Stegostoma tigrinum: one gene and its partners. The main gene of each other region encodes a partner of the protein of the gene in region 4 in a complex. Links are inferred from orthologs where the notes say so. Each region holds a gene or a part of one and is shown on either strand. Other genes may lie near its edges. The genes, in order: snrpd2, prpf3, prpf6 and prpf4.

Evidence for each region.
Region 1: prpf4 (region 4) and snrpd2 share a complex: the UniProt entries of both Homo sapiens proteins name them as parts of the U4/U6-U5 tri-snRNP complex. The link is inferred for Stegostoma tigrinum from reciprocal best matches to the Homo sapiens genes PRPF4 and SNRPD2.
Region 2: prpf4 (region 4) and prpf3 share a complex: the UniProt entries of both Homo sapiens proteins name them as parts of the precatalytic spliceosome. The link is inferred for Stegostoma tigrinum from reciprocal best matches to the Homo sapiens genes PRPF4 and PRPF3.
Region 3: prpf4 (region 4) and prpf6 share a complex: the UniProt entries of both Homo sapiens proteins name them as parts of the U4/U6-U5 tri-snRNP complex. The link is inferred for Stegostoma tigrinum from reciprocal best matches to the Homo sapiens genes PRPF4 and PRPF6.

The regions. Positions count from the first base shown.
Region 1 is NC_081392.1:12,359,301-12,367,022, forward strand, and holds the start of snrpd2 (small nuclear ribonucleoprotein Sm D2), read right to left. Parts: upstream 3,023-7,722; 5' UTR 2,910-3,022; coding exon 2,908-2,909; intron 1-2,907. UniProt on the Homo sapiens protein: Plays a role in pre-mRNA splicing as a core component of the spliceosomal U1, U2, U4 and U5 small nuclear ribonucleoproteins (snRNPs), the building blocks of the spliceosome.
Region 2 is NC_081400.1:2,579,752-2,587,124, reverse strand, and holds the start of prpf3 (U4/U6 small nuclear ribonucleoprotein Prp3), read right to left. Parts: upstream 3,001-7,373; 5' UTR 2,929-3,000; intron 2,874-2,928; exon of another isoform or gene 2,768-2,873; intron 1-2,767. UniProt on the Homo sapiens protein: Plays a role in pre-mRNA splicing as component of the U4/U6-U5 tri-snRNP complex that is involved in spliceosome assembly, and as component of the precatalytic spliceosome (spliceosome B complex).
Region 3 is NC_081372.1:31,363,149-31,370,006, reverse strand, and holds the start of prpf6 (pre-mRNA-processing factor 6), read right to left. Parts: upstream 3,002-6,858; coding exon 2,832-3,001; intron 1-2,831. UniProt on the Homo sapiens protein: Involved in pre-mRNA splicing as component of the U4/U6-U5 tri-snRNP complex, one of the building blocks of the spliceosome.
Region 4 is NC_081382.1:5,538,332-5,546,043, forward strand, and holds the start of prpf4 (U4/U6 small nuclear ribonucleoprotein Prp4), read right to left. Parts: upstream 3,014-7,712; 5' UTR 2,514-3,013; coding exon 2,362-2,513; intron 1,372-2,361; coding exon 1,187-1,371; intron 1-1,186. Other genes in the region: anaphase-promoting complex subunit CDC26, read left to right, coding at 3,320-3,400. UniProt on the Homo sapiens protein: Plays a role in pre-mRNA splicing as component of the U4/U6-U5 tri-snRNP complex that is involved in spliceosome assembly, and as component of the precatalytic spliceosome (spliceosome B complex).

The DNA of each region.
Region 1 (7,722 bases), on a different chromosome or scaffold from region 4:
CCCAGGATGTGGAATTCACTTCCCAAAGCTCTTCGCCTCTAGGGCTTTCTATTCCCCCTTTCAGATGCCCCTTAAAGATTCGACCAAATGTATGGTCATTTGACTGAACAACTGTCACAATGTTTTATAATGCTCATGAGAGATTCTGTATGTCAGTTACAACATTAAGGCACTATATAAATGTAAATTTTGCCATTAAAGAGCATGTTAGCGGGTCAGGGGAACGGGCTAGACTCTGTATGCCTTCAAGAAAATGAGTTGATCAGGTTCCCAATTAGAAATAGCTAATGAACATGCCAGACCACATTAAACCCAGTGGATCGGACTCTGGAACTAGATATCTAGTTCCAACAACTGCAGTAAAGAAACCGTGTAAATACCCTACCTTAACAGCAGTATAGGAAATGCTTGGATAAGGTAAGTTAATTTGAGTAATTTGAACAAGGTGATGAAAGCACAAATTTAGGAGGAAGCAGTGAGGCAAGATGGATGGGGATGGGGCAGTGACAGCCATAAGGCCACAGGATATAGGAGCTGAATTAGGGCATTCGGCCTATCGTGTATGCTCCGCCATTCAAACGTGGCTGATACGTTCCTAAACATTATTTTCCTTCCTTCTGCCCATTACCCCGATACCCCTATCAATCAACAACCCATCTTTCTCTGTCTTAAATACACTCAATGACTTGGCCTCCACAGCCCTCCGCGGCAATGAGTCCCACAGATTCACCAGCTTCTGGCTGAAGAAGCTCCTCCTCATCTCAGTTCTAAGGGTCATCCATTCACTCTGACACTGTGCCCTTGTATCCTAGTCTCTGCTACTAGAGGAAATATCTTCTCCACATCCACTTCATCCAGGCCTCTCAGCATTCTGTAAGTTTCAATCAAACTCCCCCCTCATCCTTCTAAACTCTGTCAAGTACAAATCCAGAGTCGTCAACCATTCCTCGTACAACAATTCCTTCATCCCTGGGATCATTCGTGTAAACCTTCAGTGGACCTGCTCAAGGCCACCTTAGAACTCCTTTAGATACAGGCCAAAAACTGTTCACAATATTCCAGATGCAGTTAATCAAAGCCTGATGAAGCTTCAGCAATACAGCTCTGCTTTTCCATTCTAGCCCTCTTGAAATGATTGATAACAGTGCATGTGCCTTCTTAACTGGCAAATGAACCTGCATGTTAGCCTTAAAAGAACGACTGGGACATGTGCTGTTCATGATCTACATAAATGATTTAGAGGAAAAATGTGTTTGGTCTAATTACTAAGTTTGTGGATAATATAAAGATTAGTGGAGTTGTAGATAACTGAGGATTGTCAGAGGATACAGCAGGATATAAGTCGGTTGGAGTCACGAGCAGAAAAATGGCAGATGGAGTTTAGTCCAGCAAAATGTGAGGTGATGCATTTTGGAAGACCAAGTACAGATGGAAATTATACAGTGAATGGCAGAACCCTTTTGGACGGGATTGCTATGCAGAGGGATCGAGGCGTGCAGGTACACAGGTCACTGAAGGTGGCGGCACAGGTACAGAAGGTCGTCAAAAAAATGCTTATGGCATGCTTGCCTTCCTTGGCAGGGGCATTAAGTATAAGGTTGAGTACATTATGCTGCACTCTATAGAACTTTAGTTAGGCCACACTTGGAAAATTGCACACAGTTCTGGTCACCACACTGCCAGAAGGATGTAGATGCTTTGGAGAGGGTACAGAAAAGATTTACCAGGTTTGCCTGGTGTGGAAGATTTTAGCCAAGAAAGGTCAGAAAGACTGGGTTTGTTTTCACTGGAACACAGGAGATGGTTGGGGCGGGAGGGAAGCTCAACATGACAGAAGTTTATAAAATTGTGAATGGCATGGATAAAGCGGAAAGGATGAGGATTTTTTTTCCAGGATGGAGGAGTCATTTACTAGGGGACACAGATTCAAGGTGCATGTCTGTGAGCGTGTGGATGTTTGAGAGAGATGTGCCAAGCAAGTTTTTCACACAAAGGGTGGAATGCGCTGTCAGAGATGATGGCAGAAGCAGACACAAAAGCAACTTTCTAAAAGCACCTGGACAAATACATGATTAGGAAGGGAGTAGAGGGATACAGATCCTGTAAGTAAAGGCAGCTTTAGTATGGAAGGACACAACATGTCAGCACAGACTTGGAGGGCCATCCTGAAAAAGTTCCCTTATCCCTACTGAAAGCAATAAATGCTGAGGGTCACAGTGGATCAGAAAGCATCTGTGGATAGAGAGAGAGCAAGCGCAAAACATTAGCTTGCTTTCTCTCCACAGATGCTGTCTGAGCACTGTGATCGCTAGCATTTGTCATTTTCAGTGCAGATTCCAGCATCTGCAGTAATTTGCTCCTTTTACCCTTTCTGCCAGTCAGCCCAATCCTCTATCCATGCCAGTACCTTGCCCCTAACAGCATGAGCTCTTATTTAGCAGCCTCTTGTGCAACACTTTGTCACAGGCTTTCTGGAAATCCAAATAGATCACATCGACTGGTTCACCTTCGTCTAACTTGCCCTGTTACCTTCTCAAAGGATTCTGAACAGCTTTGTCAGAGTGGAGAGGGACAGGGAAGGGGGAGGCGGCGGGTGAGAACCGGTATCTGAAGAACCAGTAAAATGGGGTAATAGATGCGGAAAGGGAATGCGAATCTGGGAACTACTGCTCCCTCTCCTTCCCCTCCCGCCCTGAGCGATGGGAGGGAAGGGTAGGAGCCGAGAATCTGTGCCCACCATCACCTCGGTGGGGAAAGGCTTCGGGCCCGCGCGGGCTAGGCCTCAGGCCTTAGCAACGCCGGCGAAAGGGCCCGAGTTACCGGCAGAGGAGCGGGTGATGAGAGGGGAAGCATCTCTTTTACCCCTGTCTCTCTTCCCCTCTCAATCACCCTCCACCTCTCACTCACATGGTGCTAGATGTCCCCCCAGTCGCCTCTTCTTCACTCCTTCAACCGCAACCGACCGCGCTTCGCCTCACACCAGAAGTGGGGTTGACTAACTTCCTGCTGGCGCAATGATCGCCGGGAGATGCAGTTTCCGCGTCACGTTCATCCGGTCCGAAAGGCAACGTTCGGGACTACAACCGGGGGCATTCTGGGTGTTGTAGTTCGTCAGTGCCCCTTTAACAAAGCGGAGGCGAGCATATGGACTTCAACCCCCAGCAGCTCCGACTAGCCTCCGCAATGACAACTTCAAACAGCCAGGTGTTTTTAAAGGGACATTGCCATTTAATGAAATTGAACACCCATTCTAGGTCTGGTATTGAAAAGATTTAATTGATGCTTTAAAGTGACTGGCAAAAGATGGGGTGCTGTCATCTGGGTAACCATCGGAAATAGGAACAGGATTAGACAGTTCAACCCCTCAATCCTGCTCCATCAGTAGGATCATGGCTAGTCTGACATTCCTCATATCCACATTCCTTCCCTTTCCCTGTATCTCTTGATTACCCAATTGATCAAGAATCTATCTATCTCTGCCTTAAATATACACAAGGACTCTGCCCCCACAGCTCACTGGGTAAGGAATTCCAAAAACTCACAACCCTCTGAGAGAAGAAATTCCTGCTCACATCAGCCTACAATTGATGTGGAGGTTCTGGATGTGAGTTTGCTCGCTGAGCTGGAAGGTTCGTTTTCAGACATTTCGTCACCATTCTAGGTAACATCATCAGTGAGCCTCCGACAAAGCGCTGGTGTTATGTCCCGCTTTCTATTTATAAATAGAACCTGAGCTACAAATCTTCTCAAAACTCACTGATGTGGAGGTGCCAGTGTTGGATTGGGGTGGACAAGGTCAAAAATCACATGACACCAGGTTATAGTTCAACAGGGTTATTTGAAGACACAGGCTTTCAGAGTCTCAGAGAAAGTAAGAGTTGCAGATGCTGGAGTCAAAGTTAACACAGTGTGGAGCTGGTGGAACACAGCAGGCCAGGCAGCATCAGAAAGAGCAGGAAAGTTGATGTTTTGAGTCAGGACCCTTCTTCAGGAGCCAATGGACCGAAAACACTATTTTTCTTCACAGATGCAGTCAGACCTGCTGAGCCTTTCCAGAAGCTTCTGTTTTTGCTCCTTAAGAATGCTGTATGTCTCAACAAGATCATCATTGATTCTTCTAAGCTCCAGTGTATACAGCCCCTATCTGCTTAATCTTTGCTCACAAGACAATCTCATCCTGTTGAATCCTCCCTGAACTGTTTCTAAAGAAATGATGGCATCAGTGCGGAGTCTATAAAGACACTGACACTTTCCTTGAAGTGTAAAGACAATGACAGAGAGGAGCTCGCTACCCATCGTTTAAGATGGTGCGCCACTCTTTCTGCCAGTATGAGAGACAGTTGAGAGGGGAGGAAAGGAAGCAGATCCTTCGCAATCTGCATTCTCCGACCTCACGGGTCATCCTTTAAAGACGTGAGGATGGACAACCGGCCTGTTCAGTCACATGAGCACCCATGGTAGAAGCTCCCAATTCTGATTGGACGTCATCTCCAAATCGAGGGACTGCTGACAACAGCTTCAAGGCTCCTTATTTTGTCAGAAGGCCCTTTGGCTCTCCATGGGATTGTGAGAGGAGCTATATAGATGCAATATGTTTCTTTTCCTTTAACCCTGATCAAGTGGGACGCTAAGGGGTATAGATAGTATGTATAATAATGGCAGTTGTCTTTTCCCGAGGAATGAGGATTTTGAGACTAGGAGGTACATTTTTAAGGTGAAAGGAGCCAAATTTTAAAAAAAAAGACATAAAGGATAAGTTTTTTTCCACAGAGGGTGGCTCGTGTGTGGGATGAACCTCCAGAGGAAGTGGTGGATGTGGGCACAATTACAACATTTAAAGACAGTTGGATAAGTACATGAATGAGAAAGGTTTGGAGGGATATGGGCCAGGAGTGGGCAGGTGGCACGTGTTTAGTTTGGGATTATGGCTGGCATGGACTGGTTGGACCGAAAGGTCTGTTCCCTTGCTGTATGACGTTATGAGTGTGTGACTCTACAATCAGTGGGAAGACACACTGCTGTATAGTGTATGAGCAACAGAGGTTGCAGGACTCGATGTACTCAGTTAGTTGGGCCCTGTCTGGGAGGAAGAGAGTATTTCTGGAAGAGCAGTACATGTGTGTTTGTGCATGTACTGAGCAAGCTCAATTGAACTTAATAGTTTCCTCATTTTCAAGCAGCCTGCAAACCCTCAATCTCTTGCTTGGTACTTGGAAAAACAAGAACAGGTATCTCCACTACACATAATCTACACCGTCAGGGGAGATGGAACATCAGGGAGTAAAGATTCAAATGATCTAATAACGTCACTGTTACAAAGGGTGGAGCGATTATCGTGAGTGTTACTTTATGCTGTATGTCAGAGTGTGACTGCGAGATGTTTAGACATGTACAATAGAACAATTCAGAAGGTAGAGTTGTGTTAGAAGATAGTGAACAAGGTGTAGACCTGAAGTCGTGTGAACAGTAGAGTCCAATGAAATGTCTAAACCCATAAATATAAAAAGTTAGAAACCAGGTCCCTCACAAGCAGATAATATTGGCTACAGGTCACAGGAAATCTGCTACAGATATGTTCTCCCCCTCACACACCCTCTGAGTTTATCACCCTGCTCATGACCAGGGGCATGTTGAAGGCTTCTGCAAAGGGGATGGTGTGTGTCTGGAACGAGCTGCCAGAGGAAGTGGTGGAGGCTGGTACAGTTACAGCATTTAAAAGGCATCTGGATGGGGACATCAATAGGAAGGGTTTAGAGGGATATAGGCCAAATGCTCTTTATTCATTAACAGGATGAGGGCAGTGCTGACTAGGCAGCATTTATTGGCCATCCCTAATTGACCCACAGGACAGTTAAGAGTCAACCACATTGCAGTGGGTCTGGAGTCACATGTAGGCCAGACCAGGCAAGGATGGCAGGTTCCTTCCCTAAAGGACATTAGTCTAGCAGATGGGGTTTTCCAGCAATCATCAGGGTATTCTTAATTCCAGACATTTTATTGAATTCAAATTCCACCATCTGACATGGTGGGATTCGAATCCGGGTCCCCAGAACGTTATCGGGATCTCTGGATTAGCAGTCCAGCGACAATACCACTAAGCCATCACCTCCCTGGCGAAAGGGACTAGGTCAGACTGGGATATCTGGTCGGCATGGATGGATTGAACCAAAAAGTCTATTTCAATGCTGTATGAGTCTACTTGCGTCAGTGTTCAAACCCTTCTTGTATATATTTTGCTGTAACAGGCCTTGCAGCCCAACTGTCCATGCTGCACCTCTTTTCACCTTATCCTATCAGCATATTCTTCCAAGGGGGAGTCCTCGTTTAAAGTTTTTTTTCACTTTAAAGTTGTTTCTGATTTATGTCTGTTTCCTCATTTCTAGTGTCCATTTTATCATCCCTTATGTCCTGTTGTGTCTCAAATCATTGCATCATCAATGAGACCTGTGCAGAACTTTGTTTATAGATGGGGTTGTGGTGATAAGCTTCCCTGTTGACCATGCTCGATTTATAGAGGAAGCAAACGTATATAAAACATGATCTGCAATACTTCAATCACAAATCTTATGGCCCAGACCACACGACCTCAAAATATTTTGAGAAGGTAGCCTAGACACTAAATTTTTCTTACCTTAAAGATAGATGTGAAATGTCACTTTCCAGATACAAAGCAACTGGTCAAACTACTCAACATTAGACAAAACATGATTTATCTAAACGCTGTAGTTAAAACGCAAACAAACGAACGATTGGAAAACATAATCGAGTAACAGATGCAGTAACTCTTACTAATTAACTGTACCAATATAGTAACAACTCATAAACACTCCCCCTTGGCAAAAAGACAATTCAGATACAGATTCTCACAGGCAGTTCTCCAATCCAGGAGGAAAAACATCAAGAGAGAATTCAGAGAGAATAGCAGCTAGGAGTCATTCACTGAAGCTTCCAGTTCATTTGAGAGTCCAAAGGCTTCTTATGCAAATGAGAAATCAAAACCTGGAAATGTAGATCTATGAGAGCTAGCCACACCCATTCAGTCTGTTTAAAAAAAAAATCCAAGGCCTCACAAGCTGTTTACTCAAGCTGTCCTTAGTAGCCGTTTCGGTCTCTCTGCCTTGCAGCCTCTCTTCAAATAAAGAACAAAAATAACCTTTTAAAATCATGACATCATCACACAAACATTGCATCAAGGCAGAATAGTGAAGAAAGCATTTGTTACACTTACCTTTATTGGTCAGTGCATTGAGTGTAGGAGTTGGGAGGGTCACGTTGAGGTTGTACACGACGTTGGTGAGGCCACTTTTGGAATACTGCATTCATTTCTGGTCTCAGTGCTATAGGAAGGATGGTGTAAGGCTTGAAAAGGTTCAGAAAAGATTTACAAGAATATTGCTGGAGTCGGAGGCTTTGAGCTACAGGGAGAGTTTGAATAATTTGGGGCTATTTTCCCTGGAGCATCAGTGGTTGAGGGCTGACATTTAGAAAATCATGAGGGGCATGGATAGGGTGAATAGTCAAGGTCTTTTCCGCAGGATAGGGGAGTCTGAAACTAAAGGGCACAGGTTAAAGGTGAGAGGGGAAAGCTTTAAAAGGGACCTGAGGGGCAACTATTTTACACAGAGGGTGGTGTGTGTATGGAATGAGCTGCCAGAGGAAGTGGAGGAGGCTGGTACAGTTACAGCATTTAAAAGGCACCTGGATGGGTACATGGATAGGAAG
Region 2 (7,373 bases), on a different chromosome or scaffold from region 4:
TTTTTTACTCAGCCTACTGGTGAACACACTGCAGCGTATTTGTGCTCACATTGGAGAGGAGAAGGGAACTTGATCCCAGCCTCCCAAGTCAGGGGTCAGACTCTTTCCACTTGCCATGGCTGACAGACACAAAACCTGTGCTTGATGTCGCTGCTGTTTCCTTGTTCCCCACGTTTACTTTCAACAGCTGGTTCCATTTTATATATTTACAGAAGGCTCTTTTCATTTTTCTACAATTACACATGCAATCTCCTCCATCAATTATTTTTGTCATTTTTTGCTGAATTCTAAAGTCCTCCCAATTCTCAACTTGATACACGTCATTTAATCTGTACCAAACCTTATAACATCATGTGGTTTGACTGCTTATCCTGTTTGGTAGTTATTCCACATTACAGGAAGGATGTGGAGGCTATGAAGAGGTTTACCTGGATGCTAGCTGGATGAGAGGATATGAGCTATAAGGAGAGGCTAGAAAAACTCAGATTAATTTCCACTGCTCCAGAGAGCAAGGGCAGACTTGATAGAAGTCTTTTAAATTATGAGATGCATAGATAGGGTTGACAGGCAGAATCTTTTTCCCCAGATTTGAAGTGATGAAAACTAGGGGGCATGTATTTAAGATGCAAATGAGAAGTTCAAAGGAGGTGTGAGGGGCATTTTTTTTAGACACAGACAGCGCTAGTAGTTTAGAACATGCTGCTGGGGTGGTGGAGGCAAATACAATAGGGCCATCTAAAGGACTTTTAAATAAGCACATGAATATGCAAGGAATGGGGGGGGGAGCGCGATATGGACAACGAGCAGACAGAAAGAGTGAATTTAATTTGCAGTCATGTTCGGAAGAACGTTGTGGGCTGAAGGGCCCATTCCTGTGCTGTACTGTTCTATGTTCTAAAATGTATTTACCACAAATTATATATAAAATTTAAATATCTTTTAATACATCATGGATTTTGTAACAGTTTCCTTCGAATGCCAACGTGCCTACTGAGAGCTTCTAGTATTTTCTGTTTTTATCAGTGATTTCCCACATCTGCAACATTTTGATTTTGGATCATGATTTTGTTCCAATCTGTTGAGGTCAAATTTGCCTTTGTACACCGTTCACCTTGCTCAGACTTAAGAGCCTAATTCAAATGTAGAAATTAACAGAAACTCAGCAGGGCTAGCAACATCTATGGGCAGAAAATGTCATTAACGTGTGAGTCCAATAACCCTCTTCAGACCCTAGGTTATGACTTAACAAAATTATTCCCAGTGTCATGACCATGTTACGATCACTCTTCCTCAGATACCCTATAAAGTTATTAGTTAACCCTGTATAATACAAGATCAAAAACCAGCCTGAATGATTCCACAACTGGTTGATCAACGAAATGATTGTGAATGCATGGTGGGAGGTAGGCATTAATCAAACTTGGTTTTCATCAATTCGTCTTGTGCCTGGAAGAGCTTCTGGCCAATTACGTCATGGCTACAAGAGGGCAGGAGGGAGCAGTTAGTCAGGGTCACTGGCCGTCAGTGTTTACTGAAAGCCAGCTGGTCAACCACCTTTACTCCACCACCAATGTAGAACCACTCATCAAATGTCAATGACAGAATATGTGAAGACACTTGTGCGGGAGATTGGGAGTAGGGTTAGCACATGGGAGTTCTGATCAGGGACAATGATGGGTCAGCTCACAGGAATTGACATTTTAATGTAGACAGCACAACAGGATCTCTCATGTTCTACAGCAACAGGCCGCTCTCTCGTCACAAGGACGGTGTTGAATTCTATGCTGAAATTCATTTCAAAATTAGGTTGGAACCCATAATCTTCATCCTGCGACTGGGAGCTCTCAGGACCAAAGAATAATACAGGTCCTGGCAGGTGATTGACAGAGCATCAGCACTGAGGGAGCGTTGCACTATCGGAGGAGCAGTGCTGAGGGAACCGGTGGTTGGTGCCAGTCTGACTCACGGGTGTGTGTGTGTGCGTGCGCGCGTGTGCATGTGCGGTGTTTTGCTGATGAGGGTGCCAGATCACCACCGTCACCCCCACCCCCTCCAGGTGCCCTGGAGTGGAGGGATCAATGGGGCGCAGATCTCTTCGGTAGATTCAGACAGTCTTTCACCACCATCCCCATCTAGCCATATCCCACACTAACCCAGCCCCTCCTTCAAGTCTGGAGGGAGCAGCAGGGTGGGGGTGGTGGGGGTGGTTGGGGTGGTGGGGGTGGGGGTGGGGTGGGGGGGTGGGGGTGGGGTGGGGGGGTTGGGGTGGGGGGGTTGGGGTGGGGGGGTGGGGGTGGGGGGGTGGGGGTGGGGGGGTGGGGGTGGGGGTGGGGGGGTGGGTGGGGGGTGGGGGGGAGAAGGGGATGAAGAGAGGGAGAGCAGGAGGAAGGGCTGGAGGGGTCGGGGAGAGTAGTGGTGGTGGTAATAGGGGACCACACGGTCGGGGGGGGGGGGGATTAGAAGGTGGGGTGGGCCAGGGGGATGGGGAGGGAAGGGGGGGTGGAGTGGAGTGGGGAGGAGGGGGGGTGGAGTGGAGTGGGGAGGGGGGAGGGGGAGTGGAGTGAGGAGGGGAGGGCGTTGGGGTTAGGGGATGGAGTGGGGGGGGGTGTAATGGGAGGGCAAAGGCCCCAGGACCTCGTCCGAGTGCCACATTGAGGCTGTTAATGATGTGAGGATGGCGATGGTGGATACTACCCCGCGCCAAGCCTACTGCCCCCCCCCCCCCCGACACAACAGGCGCAGGCCGCAGGCCTCAGGCCTCACTCACCCGCTGCGACGACTGTCCCGCGAACAGACGGGGAGTGAGAGAAAAGGGGTCGGGAACCGGAAACCGGTGTCCCCGGCTCAACCGTCCTCCCGGACCCGGAAGCCGGTGCCCCCCTCCTCAACCTTCCCCCTTCGTTCCCCTCCCCGCCAGCTCCCTCGTACCTTTTCGGCACAGCACACCGGCCTCACCGGAAGTCCGCTGGCGCCACACTCAAAACCGTCCGGGGCCGAGTGTAACAACGAATGCACTCCCCGATTGGGCGCGATGCATCTGTTTTGGGGAAGACTGGGGGCGGCGGGAGAAGAAAGGTTCCGCTTCGTCCTCCTGACCGCGGGAAGGCGCCAGAGGGTTGCCCCGAACTTTCCAGACGCTTCTAGAACATCACAAAGGACCGTTTGGGGGGAACGTGTGTTGTTTTCGACAAACCCCAGCCACGATGTTTTGGAAAAAAACAGAGGAATCTGGGGTGGTGTAAGAAGGACATTGTCCCAGAATTGTACTAGAACATCACAGGGGCAAAGGCCTAGCGTGTTCTAGAACATTCCAGAGCGGGATCCAGCCTTTCCAAACAGAAAGAAACAGAAAAATAGTCTCCCTCCCCAAACAAAAGCATTCCTGGAGAAAGGATGGAAATGTACCGTAAAATAATTTCAGATACAGATCCAGAGGAATGCTCTGGTGAGTTCTGGAAAGTTCCAACACACCTAACTCCATGTATAAATCGGAATTCGGAGTAGAACCAGGCTGGACACAGTCAACAGAAAGTTCTGGAATATTCCGTGGCCCCAGAATGTTCCTGACTATTCCAGGGGAAGATGGGAATTCTCAAAAGATCAGTTCCAGGGAAATATACAGAATATTCCTGGGGAACGTTGAAACTCAAGGAGATAATTTCCAGGGAAAGGCCTGGATTGTTACAGGATATTCCAGGGGAATACCTTTACAAGATCAGTTCCAGGGAAGCGTCAGAACATTATGGAAATTTTCACAAATCGTCCCCAGGAGTACCCCAGATTGTCCCAGAAGATTGCAACCAAATGGCTCCTGAAAATTCCAAGCGAGTACCCAGAACTCTACAAGATCAGTTGCAGGGAAGGTCTGGATCATTCCAGAAAATTCCAGAGCTTTGCTGCAAATTTAGCAACTGTGAAACAAACGTCCAGGCATGCAAGGAAATGCCCAGATGTGGGGGAATTTGACAACCCTGAAAACAAAAATTACCCCAGAATCTCACAGAGAAGGTGTATCAGGATTCCTAAGTTTGAATCCAGGATTCAAGAAGTTCCATCAAACTTGAATAGATTCACGAATGGGTTTACAGTGAGCCTTTTGAGAAAGAATTTGGAAGATCTGAAAATTCCTGGAATCTCACACCTACCAAAAAACAGAATTTCACCAGGAATCTGAACCTGATCTAGAGCATCCCTGACAAAGCTGGAATTTTCAGATTCTTCCCAATTTGGTTTCTTTCCTTGCACCTGTGTAGATTCCACATCTGCTGCATCATTTACCGAAAATCCCAGGATTTGCAACTGACGTATCTGAAGATGAGCCTTACAGTCCACTAGGCCATCTTTCATCCAGTGGGAATAAAGTATCAGAGATTTGAGTTACTGAATTTGCACTCTTTTTAGTAAGTGCCATTGCAAAGTTAATGACCACGCCAAGGGCCCTAAGAATGCTTCATTGAAATTTTGAAATTGTTTGTGTATGTAGGAAAATGGATGCATGTGGATGAAGTTAATAAATGCAGATCAGTCACGTTCGCATTAAATGTCAGAACAGAGGATCTCAGTGACTTCTTCCTATTCCAGTTGTTACACCTCACTGGGTAGCATGCTAGAAATCAAGCCTCACTCTTCTGGGGTCATCACAAAAGCTAAAGATTTTAAAACATATGCCAAATTCTCCAATTTACCTGACCTTTACTCCCAGGTTGACAGAAAGAACAGACCAGGTTTCCATATTTAACAAGAATATGACTATATATTAGAAGTAAATAGACTCTAACTACAGGTAAACAATTTTGAACCATCAACAAATAGAATTAGATTTTATTGTCATGTGTACTAAAGTATAGAAGAACAGTGAAAAGTGTTCAATGTTGCCTCTTGTGGCACCATCTTAGGTAATAAAGGTACTTTATTAAATCTTAGATACCAAAAGAGGAATAAAAATTAACTACTAATTAAAACTCTAAATCCACTTATAAACCCCTCTAAGCACAAATTTGGGGGAAAAAATGAGTGTTTTGGATGGAAGGAAAACTGAGAAAACAGTTTCGTGCTCTCTGTTCACAGGACCTGCTGGGATGGTTCTTGTGCTGATCAGAACGCTGTTTCTCAATCTTCCTTTACTGGAGGTTTTCACTGATTTGAAGGAAGCTGGTTCACTTAAAGATGGTCTCTGATTCTTTACTTAAAATTCGCAGCATACTGCACTGCTGAAGGACAGTACGGTGATTCAGTGATCAGCACTGCTGCCTCACAGCGCCAGGGACCTAGCCTTGGGCTGTATGGAGTTTGCACATTATTCCTGTGTCTGCGTGGGTTTCTTCCCACAGGCCAAAGATGTGCAGGCTGGGTGGATTGGCCGCACTAAGTTGCCCATAGTGTCCAGGGATATGCAGGCTTAGAGGGATTAGCCATGGGAAAAGCAGGGTTACAGGGATAGGGCAGGGTTTGTGTCTGGGTTGGATGCTGTTCAAAAGGTTGGTGTGGCCTCGATGAGCCAAATGGCCTGCTTCCACACTGTAGGGTTTCTATGAAATGAATCCTATCTAATAAATAAACTTTTTCTTTGGTTTAATGGGTGATTTGATGGTGGAGATCAAAGAAAAAGTACTTTCAGAGACGTGTAAAAGCCTCCCTGGTAAGAAGAAGAATTTATCTGGAGGCTGAAAGAGAACAAAAATAATTCCTGAGCTGGTGGAGATCAGATGGCCTCTCACCATGTCTTGTTCACAACCTCAAGCAGTTCAGCTACTTGAGAACCAATCGCAGATCTTTGTCATTGATAACTGGACACTAGTTGACAGACTTGTGGCCAGCTGTATCTCCATTTGTATACACCATTGCCTGTGCTGTGTCTGCACCTTCTCCTCCTCCTGTTTGAACCAGCAGCTGTGCAAACAGTACTTCCAATGAGAGAAAACAAGGTGTAGAGCTGGACGAAGACAGCAGACCAAGCAGCATCAGAGGAGCAGGAAAGCTGACATTTCGGGTCAGGACCGAAGGGTCTAAACCCAAATGTCAGCTTTCCTGCTCCTCTGATGCTAATTGGCTTGTGGTGTTCATCCAGCTCTGCACCTTGTTATCTCGGATTCTCCAGCATCGGCACTTCCTTCTGTCTCTGAAACACTTCCAATAAGTGTCAGGTTGCTTGCTTTCAAAGAGCATAACAGTAGCCTTTCAGCAATCCTTGGTTTTAAAAGAGTTCTTCTCTCATTTCAGTCCACTAATAAAAATACAGAAAAGTGAAAAGACTCTTACGACACTGCATAACAGGCCTGAGGGGCTGAATACCACCCTCTCTTGCTTCACCCACCCTTTGGGCACCTCCAAACCCTCCCTCTTTATCCCTATCCCTCATCCATTTACCCCCTCTATCCCATTCCACCCCCCTTTAAGACCCCCATCCCCATTCCCTACCCCATCCCTCTCCCATTCCGCCACCCCACTCACTTCCACACTCCCTGCTACCTTTCACCATCCTGCTGCATCGATTTCAACTCACTCCCACCTTCCTTTCACCCCCACCTTGTCCCTCCTCTCCAACCCTTCCCCTCACCTTTCCAACGTCCTTCCCATTCCTCATGCACCCCCCCATTCCTTCTGCTGCTCATCTCCATCCCTTCTCCCCAAAATCCCCATCCTGCCCCCCTTCCACCTTCACCACTTCCCCCTCTGTCAGTTTTAGCCTCTCCCCTCCCCTTCAATGCCTCTCCAGTTCCTACATCTCTTTTCCCCCTCCCTTTCCCCCACCCATTATCTCCCCTGCCTTTCCCCTATCATCCATCCCATCCACCCCGTTCCCATTTCTTCCAGACTTGAGGGAGGCCTAGTTAATGTGGAATGTGGTTACTTGGGATGGAGGTGAGGGACTGTCTGAATCTGCCAAGGAGATCTGTCCCCACAGAACCCTGACCACACGGCACCCAGGTTGAGATTTGACAGCCTCATCAGCAAAGCACCCCCTCACCCCAGGTCCTGGAACCAGACAACAGACTGGCACGAGGTTCTGTCAGCACTGACCCTCCGACAGTGACAACTCCCTCAGCACTGAGCCTCTGACAGTGCCCGCTCCCTCAGCACTGACCCTCCAACAGTGCCGCTCCCTCGGCACTGACCCTCCAACAGTGCCGCTCCCTCAGTGCTGACCCTCCAATAGTGCAGCACTCCCTCAGCTCTGACCCTCCAACAGTGCAGCTCCCTCAGCACTGAGCCTCCGACAGTACCCACTCCCTCAGCACTGACCCTCCGACAGTGCCCGCTCCCTCAGTACTGAGCCTCCGACAGTGCCCGCTCCCTCAGTACTGAGCCTCCTTCAGTGCCTGCTCCCTCAGCACTGACCCTCTGACAGTGCCCATTCCCTCAACACTGACTGT
Region 3 (6,858 bases), on a different chromosome or scaffold from region 4:
GAGGTTGAACTTTGTACAGGCACTGGTAGGACCAGATCTAGAAGTTTTGGCGTCCTTATTTAAGGAACGATGTAACCACATTAATAGCACAGCAGAAGTAGTCCAGCTGGTTGATTCTGGGATAAAGGAAGAGTCTTATGGTGAAAGATTGGCACGTACACATTGAACCTTAAGAATTAGAGCTGATCTCATTGAAAAAGAAACTGGAAATATTTTGCTTGAGTTATAGAGTGTTTGTGAGGCCACACTTGAAGTACTGTACACAGTTCGGATTTAAGAAAGGATGTACACGTTCAGCGAAGGTTCATTTGACAGCTGAATGGCGATTGGGGATTAACTGTTTCTCATGAGAAAAGGTTGAGGCTTTACCTACTGGACACGAGAACAAATTACTGAAATGTACGAGATCCTGAGGGGACCTGATAGGGTGGACATTAAAAGGATATTTTATTTTTTAGGAGAGACTAGAACTAGGAACACAGTTTAAAACTAAAAAGGGTCTCATTTAAGACGTAGGAGGATTTTTTTTTAAAACGAGGGTTGCCTGCCTTTAGAATTATTTCAGAGAGCAGAGGATACAGGATGACTGACCACTTTTAGGGCCAAGATAGACAGATTCTTAATTAGGGAGTTAATTGTCATAAAGGTGGTGTGGATGTGGAGTTGAGCTCATGATCAAATTATTCAATGGCAAATGAAAAATTATTCAATGTTATAGGCATTAAAAGGCACAATCCTGCTCTTAATTCACGTGTATATGTACGTCCGATGAAAACATAAAAAATTTGAGGTAATGGTTCCTCTTGTTGTAGAGACTTGAATTAGGGGATATAGTTTAAAATACAATGTTGCCTACTTAAGAATGAGAATTTTCATTTTTCTTGGTAGGCCATTACTCCGTGCAATTCTCTTCCACAGAGAACAGTGGAAGCTGGATCATTGACAACATTCAAAATCAAGTTAAATACAATTTGATCGACAAAGGAATCAAGGGTTATATGGTAAACAAGAAAGTGGAAATGAAATTATCATCTGATGAACCATTGCCTTATTGAACATCAGAGCAGGTTTAAGGAGGCGAATGGCCTAGTCCTAAAACACCTCCCAGAATCAACTCTTATATTGGCTTATGTCAGGTAAGGAAACAACTGGATACAGCGACATTCACCACTTCTGGATTATAACATTAAATCCCACATATGGGGGACAGGTCAAATTGCTCAACATTACCTTGCAAACTTTAATAAGTTCATTAACGTTTGTTCAGGACTTGAGGGCATCTTGAAAAATATAGTGAAACAAATTCACCCAACATCTTTCAGACATCATCTGGGCTCAGGGTTTCGGTATCTGAAACTAATCCTCATTTAAGCTGCAATATGTTCCATTTTTTAACTGCTTGGTGGCTTCACAGCTTGCAGCTCCTTGTTGCAAAGTGCAGCCACAAGGAAATATAGGATAGGACGAGGTGTTGCTTTATCACACTGTTGAATATTGTGTTATTTTCTTTAAGAAGACAAACTACCCATCTGACATTTTTGCATAAATCAGGGTTTTCAACAAGAGGTTGGTTCTGGGATAGCAGGACTGACGTATGAGGACAGATTAACTAGGTTAGGATTGTTTGCCGTGGAGTTCAGGCAAAGTTGGGGGGGGGGTGGTGTCTCATAGAGACATAAAATCACAACAACACTAGACAAGAGTTGATGCAGGGAGGATGTTCCCAATGGTGACTGTGTACAGAACCAGGGATCACAGTCTGAGGATTCATGGTAGGCCATTTAGGGCAGAGATGAGGAGACATTTTTTCACACAGAGTGATGATCCTGTGGGATTCATTACCACAGGAAGTAATTGATGCCAGAACATTGAATGTATTCAAAAGGTAGCTAGATAGAACAAACAAAAACAGAAGAGATAGTGGGGACTGTCGACGCTGGAGAGTCTGAGGTAACAAGGTGTAGAGCTAGATGAATACAGCAGGTCAAGCAGCATCAGAGGAGCAGAAAAGCTGACGTTTCGGATCTAGACCCTTCTACAGAAAACTGAAACGTCAGCTTTCCTGCTCCTCTGATGCAAAGTGGCCTGCTGTATTCATCCAGCTCTACACCTTGTTATCTCAAACAAAATCAGAAATTGCTGGAAAAGCTCAGCAGGTCTGGTAGGATCTGTGAAGAAAAAAAATCAGAGTTAATGTTTTGAGTCCGGTGGAACTCAGAATGGTCATCGGACCCGAAACGTGAACTCTCATTTTTTTCCTTCACAGATGCTGCCAGATCTGCTAAGCTTTTCCAGCAACTCCAAGATAGAAAGAACTGCCAATGCTGGAGTCAGAGATAACACTGTGTGGAGGTGATGTTTCCTGCTTTGCTGCTCCACTGATGCTGCCGGGCCTGCTGTGTTCCTCCAGCTCCACAGTTATCTTTCCCAGCATCTCATCAGTTTTTCTTCCTCATTTACAGCATCCGCAGTTCTCTGGGTTTTTATTTGGCTAGATATAGCACTTGGGGCGAATTGGATCAAAGTTTATGGGGAGAAAGCAGGATTAGGCTATTGCGTTGGACGATCATCCACGATCGTGAAGGATGGCAAAGCAGGCTCGAAGGGCCTCCTTCTGCTCCTATGTTTATATAAAATTTAAATGGTAGCAGAATTGAACTAGTATATATAAGAAACAAAACAGACTCTAAGGTACCGTTTCAGGGCCTGTGTGAACAGTTACGGCGATCAGCCTCAATCCTTAAATTAGGCACCTTGGTGCGTCGCGGTTGGCGTGTTTACTTACAGGCAGCACCACGGAGGAAAAGCAGAAGATGCAGAATTAAACTCACCCTCTGCCCAAACCCGGCACGTAACCGAGAGGCGCAGGCATGCCCAGAAACGGCTTCTTTTTCTTGTTAAGGGTCCCGGTGAGGGTTGGACCCCCCGAGCTCACCCCACTCGGTGCAGCAGCTGTACCAGTGCCAGGAGCAACCGAAGATGCTGCTACCGCCGCCGCCATCTTGCAAGCAGGAATTAGTCCCATAAGCCTTTACGGCAGGAGCGCGGCAGGAGCACGTGATCATCTTATTAACATATCGGGACTCCTCGTTTACGTCTTATTTACATACCTGAGCAGCTCTCTGACATTGGACCTGGAAGACAGCAGCAAATGCAGCTACCAGATTATTGCAGTGACCAACTCCTTGAAATATTGGCCTCCAAACTGAGTTTTCCCAACTCAAACCAATCACCATGAAGCAACTAGGATAGCTTCTCACCAGAGGAAAAGCAATAAATTTAAAAACTGAAGAGTGAAACTCAGAGAAGTACTGATTGCATGTAGAAACCATGTCTGAAGTCTTTCAGCTGAAGGGAGGTAATTCAGTTGTCAGACTCTCAAAAAGATGTGAATACCAGTTTTGTGTAACAGAGGTTGTTTAGGGATAGAGTCAAAGTTTAATGTTTTGTTTGGAGATAACAAGAACTGTAGATGCTGGAGTCAGACGCAACACAAAGTTAAAACTGAAATGAGATGACATTTCTTCAGCCAGAGTGGTGGGCTTGTGAAATTCATTGTCACGGAGTGCAGTGGAGGCTGGGATGCTGGATGCCTTCAAGGCAGAGATCGACAAATTCTTGATCTCAGAAGGAATCAAGGGCTATGGGGAGAGTGCAGGGAAGTGGAGTTGAAATGCCCATCAGCCATGATTTAAATGGTGGGGTGGACTTGGTGGGCCGAATGGCCTTACTTCCACTCCTATGTCTTATGGTCTAATTTGGAGCTGGAGGAACACTGCAGGCCAGGCAGCATCAGAGGAACAGGAAAGTTGACATTTAGGGTCAGGACCCTTCTTCAGAAAGTATTTTGTTTGATTAGATTAGATTGCTTGCTTGATATGCAACTGTGCAGAACCAAACTACTTTTATGAATATTTTTGAAATAAAAACAAGATAGCATACAACAGTAAGTTTCTGTCAGGCAGCAAGTCAGAATCCACGGGGAAGGTGTCATCACCCTCATCTCAAAGTCGAAGGGAGGATGGGTAGAAATTAGATATTGGTAACCAGTCATGTCAGGATGACTCTGGGATCAGTGATTCACCCGGACAAAACTTGTGCTATACTGGGCAGGACAATTTCTGACAGCCTCATGCTCCTCAGGCATATGATCACCTACAAGCAGAACAGGGGTCCTGCCTCATCAGCCCGGACCAGGAAAAGGACTTTGACACGATGCGGGATGTTCTCTCTAAATGGGCTTTGGGAAGAAAATCCGAATTGGATCTAATGGCTCTACACCAACATCAATACTGCAGACTCAAACAATCGGTGGGAATCAGAAAGTTTTCCAATCAGATCTAGAGTCAGTCAAGGCTGCTTGTTCTCTCCTGCCTTGTTTCTGTGTTGTAGAGAGCCTTTTGCCGTGTCCAGTGGTTAGTACTGCTGTTTCACAGCACCAGGGACCAGGGTTTAGTTCCACCCTTCGGCGACCGAATGGAGTTTGCATATTCTCCCTGTGTCTGCATAGGTTTCCTCTGGGTGCTCTGGTTTCCAACCACAGTCCAAAGATGTGCAGGTTAGGTCGATTGGCTATGCTAAATTGCCCATAGTGTCTAAGTAGAGTAGCCATGGGAAATTCATGGTTACAGGGATAGCATAGCTGGGTGAGTCATAGAGACAAAGAGCTGTACAGCATGGAAATAGACCCTTCAGTCCAACTTATCTATGCTGACCAGATGTCCTAAATTAATCTAGTCCCATTTGCTGGCATATCCTTCTAAACCCTTACTATTCGTATGGCCATCTAGATGCCTTTTAAATGCTGTAATTGTACCTGCCCCCACCACTTCTTCTTGCAGCTTGTTCCACATGTGCATCACCCTCTGTGAGAAAGTTGCCCCTTAGGTACTTTTTAAATCTTTCTGCTCTCACTTTAAACCTATGCCGCCTAGTTTTGGACCCCCATCCCAGGGAAAAGACCTTGCCTATTCACCCAATCCATGCTACAAATGATTTTTAAAACTCTATTAGGTCACTCCTCAGCCTCCAACGCTCCAGGGAAAATAGTCTCAATCTATTCAGCAAATCTCAATAGTTCAAACACTCCAACCTGTGCAACATCCTAAGGAATCTTTACTGAACCTGTTCAAGTTTCACAGCATCCTTCCTATAACAGGAGGAACAGAACTGAATGCAGTATTCCAAAAGTGGCCTAAGCAATGTCCTGTATAGCTGCAGCATGTCCACCCAGCTCCTATATTCAATGCATTGACTAATAAAGACAAGCATACCAGATGCCTTCTTCATTATCTTGTCTACCTGTTACTTTACTTTCAAGGAACAATGAACCTGCACTCTAAGGTCTCTTTGTTCAACAACTCTCCCCAGGGCCTCATTATTAAGCCTTGCCCTGATTTGCCTTTCCAAAATGCAACTTTTATCTCAATTAAACTCAATCTGCCACTCCTTGGCCTGTTGGCTCATCTTATCAAGGCTCTTTGTACTCTGGCATAATCTTCTTCGCTGTTGGCTACACTAAATTTTGATGTCATCTGCAAACTTACAAACCATACTTTCTATGTCCACATCCAAATCATTTATATAATCAACATAAAGTGATGGAAACATCACTGATCCTTGTGGCACACAGCTGGTCACAGGTGTCCAATCTGAAAAGCAACCCTCCACCACCACTCTCTGTCTCCTACCTTCAAGGTGCTTTTGTATCCAAAAGGCTAGTTGTCCCTGTATTCAATGTGATCTAACCTTTCCAACCAGCCTACCATGAGGAACCTTGTCAAACACCTACTGAAGTCCGCTCTGCGTTCATCAATCCTCTTTGTTACTTCTTCAAAAAACTCAGTCAAGTTCATGAGACATGATTTCCCAAACACAAAGCCATTTGACTATCCCTAATCAGTCCTTGCCTTTCCAAGTCCATGGAAATCCTGTCCTCATAATCCCTTCCAATGACTTGCCCACCGTTGATGTCAGTATCACCACTTTATAGTTCCCTGGCTCTTCCTTATCACCTTCTTTAAATGGTGGCACCATGTTAGCCAACCTCCAGTCTTCTGGCACCTCACCTGTGGCTATTGATGGTACAAATATCTCAGCTTAGGCCCAGCAAACACTTACCTAGCTTTCCACAGAGGTTTTGAGTATGCTTGATCAGGTCCCAGGGATTTATCTACCTTTTTACATTTTAAGACATCCAGCACTTTCTCCTCAGTAACATGGACATTTTTCAAGATATCACGTTTTATTTCCCCAAGTTCCCTACCTTTTTTGTCATGTCCTTCACCACAGTAAACCCTGATGCAAAACACACTGTTTCTTCAATTGCTACTGTTCAGAACCAAATTGCTTCAGTGACTATAAATGTGTATAAAGGTATTTTCTGAATATTATATTTGAAACAAAAAAATGTAAAGTCAAATGTGGATCCATTCAGTTATGGGTCCTCCTGGTGCATCAAACGTATATAAATTGTATTTGCAAAAGTAAGAAATGCCTTTGGCCTTTTTGAAACTGTCAGGAGAGTCAAACCTCCAATGTTTGTTTGTTCTCAATATGCTGAGATTATACAGAATCGAACTGCTCCAGGAACTACATATGTATAAAAAGATTTTTATGAATAAAGTATATTTTTGAAAGACAAAAGAAGATATGTAAAGACTGTACAGAACTACTTTAGGCCTCTATTTAACTTTGGCAGAAAGGTCTTAGATGGTGGTCTTTCCCCACTGTGCCTTGGCAGCAGCTGCTCTAAGCTTCAGTGCATGCCTCAGCATGTAATCCTGACCGTTGTAACATACCAGTCTATAACACACAGTTGGAGTCAACTCCTTGCTCTGGAAAACCAGCAAGTTTCAG
Region 4 (7,712 bases):
TTACCAGTGGTAGTCGTGGAAGCAGAGTCATTAGTGACATTTAAGCGACTGCCGGACATGCACATGGACAGCAGTGAATTGAGGGGAATGTAGGTTATGTCATTTTAATTTTGGATTAGGAATATTCCACGGCACAACATCGTGGGCCGAACGGCCTGTACTGTGCAGTACTTTTCTATGTTCTGTGTTCTATCAGACATGATCTCTCAGAGCGTGGAACAAGCTCAAGGTCCTGAATTGCCTACTCCTATACCTGTGTTTATAAAAGTACACTGGCTGCTTAAACACTGGTTTTTATGGAGGCTGTGGATATCGGATTCTATTTCTTCAATATTTTAAGCAGATACTGTGCAATAAGACTCCTGAAAATGGTATACCCAGAGAATGTTACGTAGACAATGGTTCACAACGGGATACAAAATGTGACAGAGTGGTTCTGAACTGACCTTGCTGGTTTGAAACAAATGCTAGAGGCGAAAAAAAGACTTCTAAACTTAAGTGGATGGATGTAAATCATCAACTGTTTCAGAAAACGAAATGCATGTGCAAAGAAATTGTTAGCAGTCTCAGAGAATGTGGGATTTTGAAATGCAAAGCTTTGCTGTGTATTTTTTGATTTCAGCCATTCGCACGTTGTGTAGGGTAAGGGATTAATACTGTCAATAATTGTTGTCACATACGCAACTTCACACAGATAAGAGATCTATAAAATGCTCTCAACATTTGCTTTGAACAGCCTGAATATTTTCAATGCAATTTCTTTTGAAAATCTGTTAACTGTACATTCATTATTTGCAGGTATTGGGCATTAACTTGGACTTCCTTGCATCCCCACTGAAGAGTCAACATACAGCATATTTCTACGGTATCCAGAAAATCATTTAACCTTATAAGATCAGACTATCAGGCCATCGTCACTTAGCTATTTGTGTGAACTTGTTGCACATAAATTTCTTAATTACAACTGTTGCCATTTCCAGAAGTGTTTCAAACGTTATAGACTTTCTGCACTTTTGCATCCAAAATAAAGCCCAATTCATCTAAAATTGTTACTTATTGCTATTGTTCCCAACCAGCTTTCTAAAATTTCTCAGCAATCTTTTCAGCAGCTCCACATTTTTTGACTCAATCAGATGGAGTAATTATTCAATGACACAGTTAAAGAAACTGAAGCATCATCACTTACTGCTGGATATATTAATATGTCCAGCTTCTACCCCAGCTTTCACAGCTTCTTTCCCCAGGTATCCTGCATCTCCTTTGGAAATCCTCTCTTTCTCCTTCTCTTCAAGGCTTCCATAATAAATCCGAGATTTCTTAGGCAACGGAACATCATCATCATCAGACATTCTTGTAATATGGGGCAGGAAACTGTGGGTGTAGAAAATGCATAAAATTAACAAACCGTTTTGACCAGAGATAAGAGATGAGAAAGACAGGTTGTTTGACTCTAGCTCTAATCTCCAAGTACATGCATCTGCATGCTTAAATTGGGGTGTTGCTCATAGGAATTCTGGTTTTTGATGCCTTGGGAAAGAAGTTGGAACAGGAAGAACTGAACGAGTGTTGATTTCTAGCCCAGGAGAGAGAATCTTTGGATCATGCTTTTGGAGCTTCACAGGAACAAGCAGGAAATGAGAGAGAATCAAAGACAACAGAAGCATCCATGGAATAAAATCAAGAAAGGCTCTGGCAGATGAGAAAAAGGATCACAGAAAATTTGGAACTGTCTCCCCAAATCAAAAGCAATGCACCTTAGGGCAATTTGAGCTATTGAATTAATAAGATCATTATATTGTCAAAGTACCAAGAAAAGTTGAGCAAAGGTAGATCTTGGAGTTGAGGTACAGATTAGCCATAGCATGTCTGAATACATTGATTAAAAAATATCTAAATGAATAGTAAGTGCAATAGGGCTCAAAGGAGTGAATGATCTACTTCTATTCCTAACTACAGATAACAAACAAGTATCAGATGATCTCTTATAAAAAAGTGTGAAGCTGGATGAACACAGTGTGTTCATCCAGCTTCACACTTTGTTATCTTGGATTCTCCAGCATCTGCAGTTTCCATTATCACTCATCAGATGATCTCTTGTTCCTTACAGCAGAAGATGGAAATGTGAAATTATCCACTTTGGTCTGAGTGGCAAAGCTGAACATATTTCAAAAGTAAAAGCAGATGTTGACATTAAGGTGAACTTGAGGGTCATCATACCCATCTTATAAAAGATTAATTTGTAGGTATATTATAGATATTTTGCTTGGGTTTTTAAATGTTATTTGAATATTGAAAGACTAACATTTCCAAATTTGTCAATGATACCAAACTTAGAAACAGTACTAAAGATAACAATGTTACCAATTGCACAGGGTAGCACTGTCTCTCAGCGCCAGGGTCCCGAGTTTGTGGAGATTGCACGTTCTCCCTGTGTCTACACGGGTTTCTTCCGGGTGTTCTGGCTGCCTCCTACTCCAAAGAGGTGTAGGGTGGGTGGGTGCTAAATTGCCCATCAGGGATGTTCCGGTTAGGTGGGTTAGCCATGGGAGATGGGGATGATACGGGAGGGATGCTCGGTGTGGACTCGATGGGCCGAATGCTGGCACACGGTACGAATTCTATGATTCTAACTACCAGTCGGAGAATTGTAGGCCGGCAGATTGGGATTTAACAAGCGATTCATTTTGGAAGAACGGTTTGGGAGAAGGAAATAGATACTTAATGACTCAGTGCTAAAGAGCGCGCAGAGAGACGGGGAGGGGAGAGGACTTGGTGCCAACGTGCACTAAACTCTTCAGGTGGCAGCATACACAGGGCGTGATTAACCAAGCACATGGGAGTTATGAACTCCCTAAATAGAAATGTTGATGGAAAAAGCAGGGGATTTACGGTGAAGTTGAATAAAGTTATGAGCCACAAGTAGAGCATTGTGTGTGATTTCTGATACAGTACAGCCTCCCCTCCCCCACAAGCAGCCACAATGACCGACTTCTCCCCAACCTGACAATATAAAGGCCCGGTTAAGGACGGGGAGTTGACGGCAATAGCCAAGGCCTAGCTTTAGGCTATCTCCTGTCTCTATCTCTCCTTCCCCCAGCCTCAGCGCGGCCTCTTACCAGCTCCTATACCGTCGTTAAGCCGACACTGACTGCGTCCGGGGCAAAGGGTAAGGAGGCGGCGCACAGGCTGCTGGGTGTTGTAGTCATTTCCACGCCGCCGGCTCAGAAACTACATGTCCCAGTGTGCCATGCCGTGGTGACGCCAGGTGTCGCCTGTAAGGTCTGAAGCGACCAAGTTGGACGTGACTTCTAGCGGCAGAATGTTGCGGAGGAAGCCTACTCGGCTCGAACTGAAGCTGGACGATATTGAGGAGTTTGAGAGTATGAAGAAGGAGTTGGAGGTGAGTGTCAAGGTGACAGGAGTTTGGCCAGGGCTGGCGCCAGGTTCGCTCCGACAGAACCTCAGCGGGGCCTAGGCCTGGGCCTGGGCCTCACCGTCCGCCTCCAGAGCCAGACCCACCATCGCCTGGACACGGCACCGACAAAGGGACCTGGAAATCACTTCAGTCAGGCGGCAGGAGACCCGAACCACACCACCACCAACCCCCCCCTCCCCACCACCAACCCCCCCCCCACCACCACCACACACACCACATTCCCCCACCCCCCAACACATACCCCACACCCCCACACCCCACATGCACCCCTGCCACTTGCACACCCCCTGCACTTACTCCCACCACCCCCACCCTGGCACAGGCACTCACACCCAGTGCCCACCCCCCCCATACTGCTGCCACTTGCTCGCACCCCCATCCCCTGCACACGCTTTATATCCTTCCTAGAGCATCTATACATTGGAGCATTAAGCATCCTGCCCTGTCCATCCCTGAGCCACGTCTCTATAGTTGCTATGATATCCCAGTCCCATGTTCCCAACCATGCCCTCAGTTCATCTGCGTTATCTGTTAGGCCTCCTGCATTGAAATAAATGCAGTTTAATTCATCCGTAATAGCTCGTTTTCTGCTTTGTTCCTGACTGTCTGACCTGTTCCTTTTCCCATCTCTACCAGTTTTGGGGACTGTCCTCTTTTCTCACTATCTCCCTAGGAAATCTAGCAAATCTCCCCAGCAGAGTATTAGGCCCTTTCCAATTCAGCTGCAATCCATCCTTATGCAGGTCACTTGTACCCTAGAAGAGATTCCAGTGATCCAAAATTGTGGATCCTCTCCATCACCAGCTCCTCAGCCATACATTTATCTGCTGTATCCTTCTATTCCTATCCTCACTAGCTCATGGCACTGGAAGTATTCCAGATATTACTACCCTGAAGATAACAAAGTGCGGAGCTGGATGAACACAGCAGGCCAAGCAGCATCTCAGGAGCACAAAAGCTGACATTTTGGGCCTAGACCCTTCATCAGAGAGGATGCTCTCTGATGGAGGGTCTAGGCCTGAAATGTCAGCTTTTGTGCTCCTGAGATGCTGCTTGGCCTGCTGTGTTCATCCAGCTCCGCACTTTGTTGTCTTGGATTCTCCAGCATCTGCAGTTCCCATTATCACATTACTACCCTGAAGAACCTTTTTTTTAAAAAATTCCTGCCTGTCCTCTTCAGAATGATTTAAAATTAGGGATATTGAAACTGTATTAGACGTGCAGTGATATTTTGGAGGTCTCAGAATTGGAAAAGGTTATGAACGTCAGGAGGGTCCAGGCTGTGGAGGGATTTGAAAACAATAATGAAGATTTTCTATAATAAAGGTATTGTTTAACTAGTAGTCTGTGTGGGTCAGCTAGTACAAGAGGGATTGGTGAATGCTGTACGTTAGACTGCAGGCATCAGAGACTTCAGTTACCTCAAATTCAGTGTTTAGAATGTGGGAGAGCAGCGAGGAATGCATTACAATAGTCAAGTCTGAAGATAACAAGCATGGATAGGGTTTCAGCGGCAGAAGAGCTGAAGTAGTAATGGAGTCAGACATTGCAACAGAGACGGCAGTAAAACCAAGTTGCTGCAAGAGTTCAAGATAACAAAGGGTGAAGCTGGATGAACACAGCAGGCCAAGCAGCATCTCAGGAGCACAATATCGCTGCTTCCATTTAATCTTGGGTGTCAGAGTAGCAAGAAGGCAAAGTCAAGACAGTGAAGGGTTCAAGTAAGGTAGTAGTGAGATAGATGTGAAACTGATTGCCAAGGGACAGTGTACAGTGAAAAATAGAAGGGGGCCAAAGATAGATCTCTGGGGGACATCTGAGATCACTGTAGGAATGGAAAGAAGTCATTGCCAATGGTTTCCCTGGCTATGATGCAATAAGAATGGGATCAGGCCAGTCTACTCTCACCCACTGGACAACAAAGGAAAGTAATTGGAGGAAGATGGCTACCATGTTGAAAGCCACAGCCAGGATGAAGAAAGATAGTTTACCTGTGGTGTGATCACAGAAGGTGTTGTTTGTGACTTGAATAAGAGCCATTGCAGTGTTGATTGGAAGGATTCAAGTTTTGGAAAAGATGGGCACAGATTTGAGATGCCACAAACACTTCAAAGGATTTTGGAATGGGGATGGTCAGAGATAGGGCAGCAGTTTGCAAGCAGCGGGAATTAAAGGTATTTTTTTGATGAGGGAAATATGATGGCACATTTGAAGGAGAGAGGGTCAGAACCAGAAGAGATAGAACCATTAGTGGTTTTAGTTAATGTGTGAGCAAGGAAGGAAAGTTGGTGGTCAGTAATATAGTGGGAATAGGGCTGTGGGAGTACAAGATGGCTCTTACGAACAAGATGAACTCTGGTGAGCAAAGAGAGGAGAGACATTACAAAGGAAATAAATTTTGGCTGAGAAAGGGAAACCATAGATTCCACAATCACTTTTGGTAAATGTTCCTGCACCATTAGGCTCTTAATGAATATCTGGTTCATTTATTAAACTAATATGGCCTGCCTGCTTGTTGGTTCTAGTGCATATTGTTGTAAAACAACTGCCCTGAACACACTGAAGAAATGTATTGATTTTCTAACATGAGTTTATTTGCTTTGTCCAAGCTAGGTGAGTAAATTACAGGGGACAACGATGCAAGGGGGATATAGACAAGTTGTGAGTAGGCAAACATTTGACAGTTGGAATATAATGTGGGAAAATGTGAGGCTACATGCTTGGGCAGGAAGAAAAGAATATTATTTGAATGAGGAAAGACTACAGAAAGCTGCAGCACAGAGCATTTTAGGAGTCCTCGTGCATGAATCATAAAAAAATTATCAAGTTCAGCTATTAATAGTGAATGCATATGGAATGTTAGCCTTTATTTCGGGGGAGTGAAATATAGAGGGAACTCGTTAAAACTATATAAGTACTAATCGGACCACACCTAGAATGCTGTGGAACAGTTTTAGTCCCCTTATCTAAGGAAAGATATACTGGCATTGGAGACAGTCTTAAGGAGGCTCACTCGGTTGATTCCAGGTATGGAAGGATGTTCTTCTGGGAAGATGTTGAGCACGTTGAGTCTGTACTCATTTGATTTGAGGAGAATGGAAGGTGACCAAATTGAAACATACAAGATACTTTGGAGGGGGGCTTGAGAGTGTAGATGTGGAAAGCATGTCTCCCCGTAGGGGAGAATCTAGGACCAGTGAGCATAATTTCAGAATAAGGGGTCACCCATTTAAGACAGGTGAGGATTGAGCTGATCTTTCGATTTTTTAGGAATGACTCGTGCTGTGAGTTCCAATGAGTGTACCATATTTGATTTTACACAATGTCCCCTAGTAATTGACCCTTCCACCCTGCAAACAACCCTTATACTTTCCACTCTATCCATGCCGTTCACAATCTTCTAAACTTCTCTATCAGGTCGTGACTCAGCCTCCTGCATTTTAGTGAAAACAAACCCAGTCTATCCAACCTTCCTTTATAGCTAAAATCCCCTATGCCAGGCAACATCCTAGTAAGCCTTTTCTGTACCCTCTCCAAAACATCCACATCCTTCTGGTGGTGTGGTGACCAGAACAGTATGCCTAACTGAAGTTCCATAAAGCTGCAGCATAACTTGTCTATTCTTATACTCAATGCCCCTTTTAATGAAGTCAAGCATCCCATAGGCCTTTTTTACTACCTTATCTACCCTTGCTGCCACCTTCAGTGATCTGTGGACCTGCACACCCAGATCTCTCACATTCAGGGTTCTGACATTCACTGTTTAATTTCTACCTGTATGTGACGTTCCAAATTCATTGCCTCACACTTGTCTGGATTAACCTCCATCTGCTATCTTTCTGCCTCTGCCTCCAACTGATCTATATCATGCTGTATCCTTTGACAATCCTCCTATCTGTAACTCTACCAATCTTTGTATCATCTCCAAACTTACTAATAAGACTAGCCACGTATTCCTCCATATCATTTATGTGGATCACAAATAGCAGAAGTCCTAACACTGATCCCTGTGGAACACCACCACTCACAGCCCTCCATTCTGAAAAGCGTCCTTCCACCACTACCTTCTGTCTCCCATCTTGCCAGCTCATCCCTGATATGTGACTTCACTTTTTGCATCAGTCAGCCATGAGTGACCTTGTCAAAGGCCTTCTGAAGTCCATGTAGACAACATCAGCTGCTTTTCCCTTTATTAAACATCTTCGCAAGCTCCTCAAAAAAACTCAGTTAACTCGGTGACACGTGACTTCCTCCACACAAAACCATGCTGTTTATC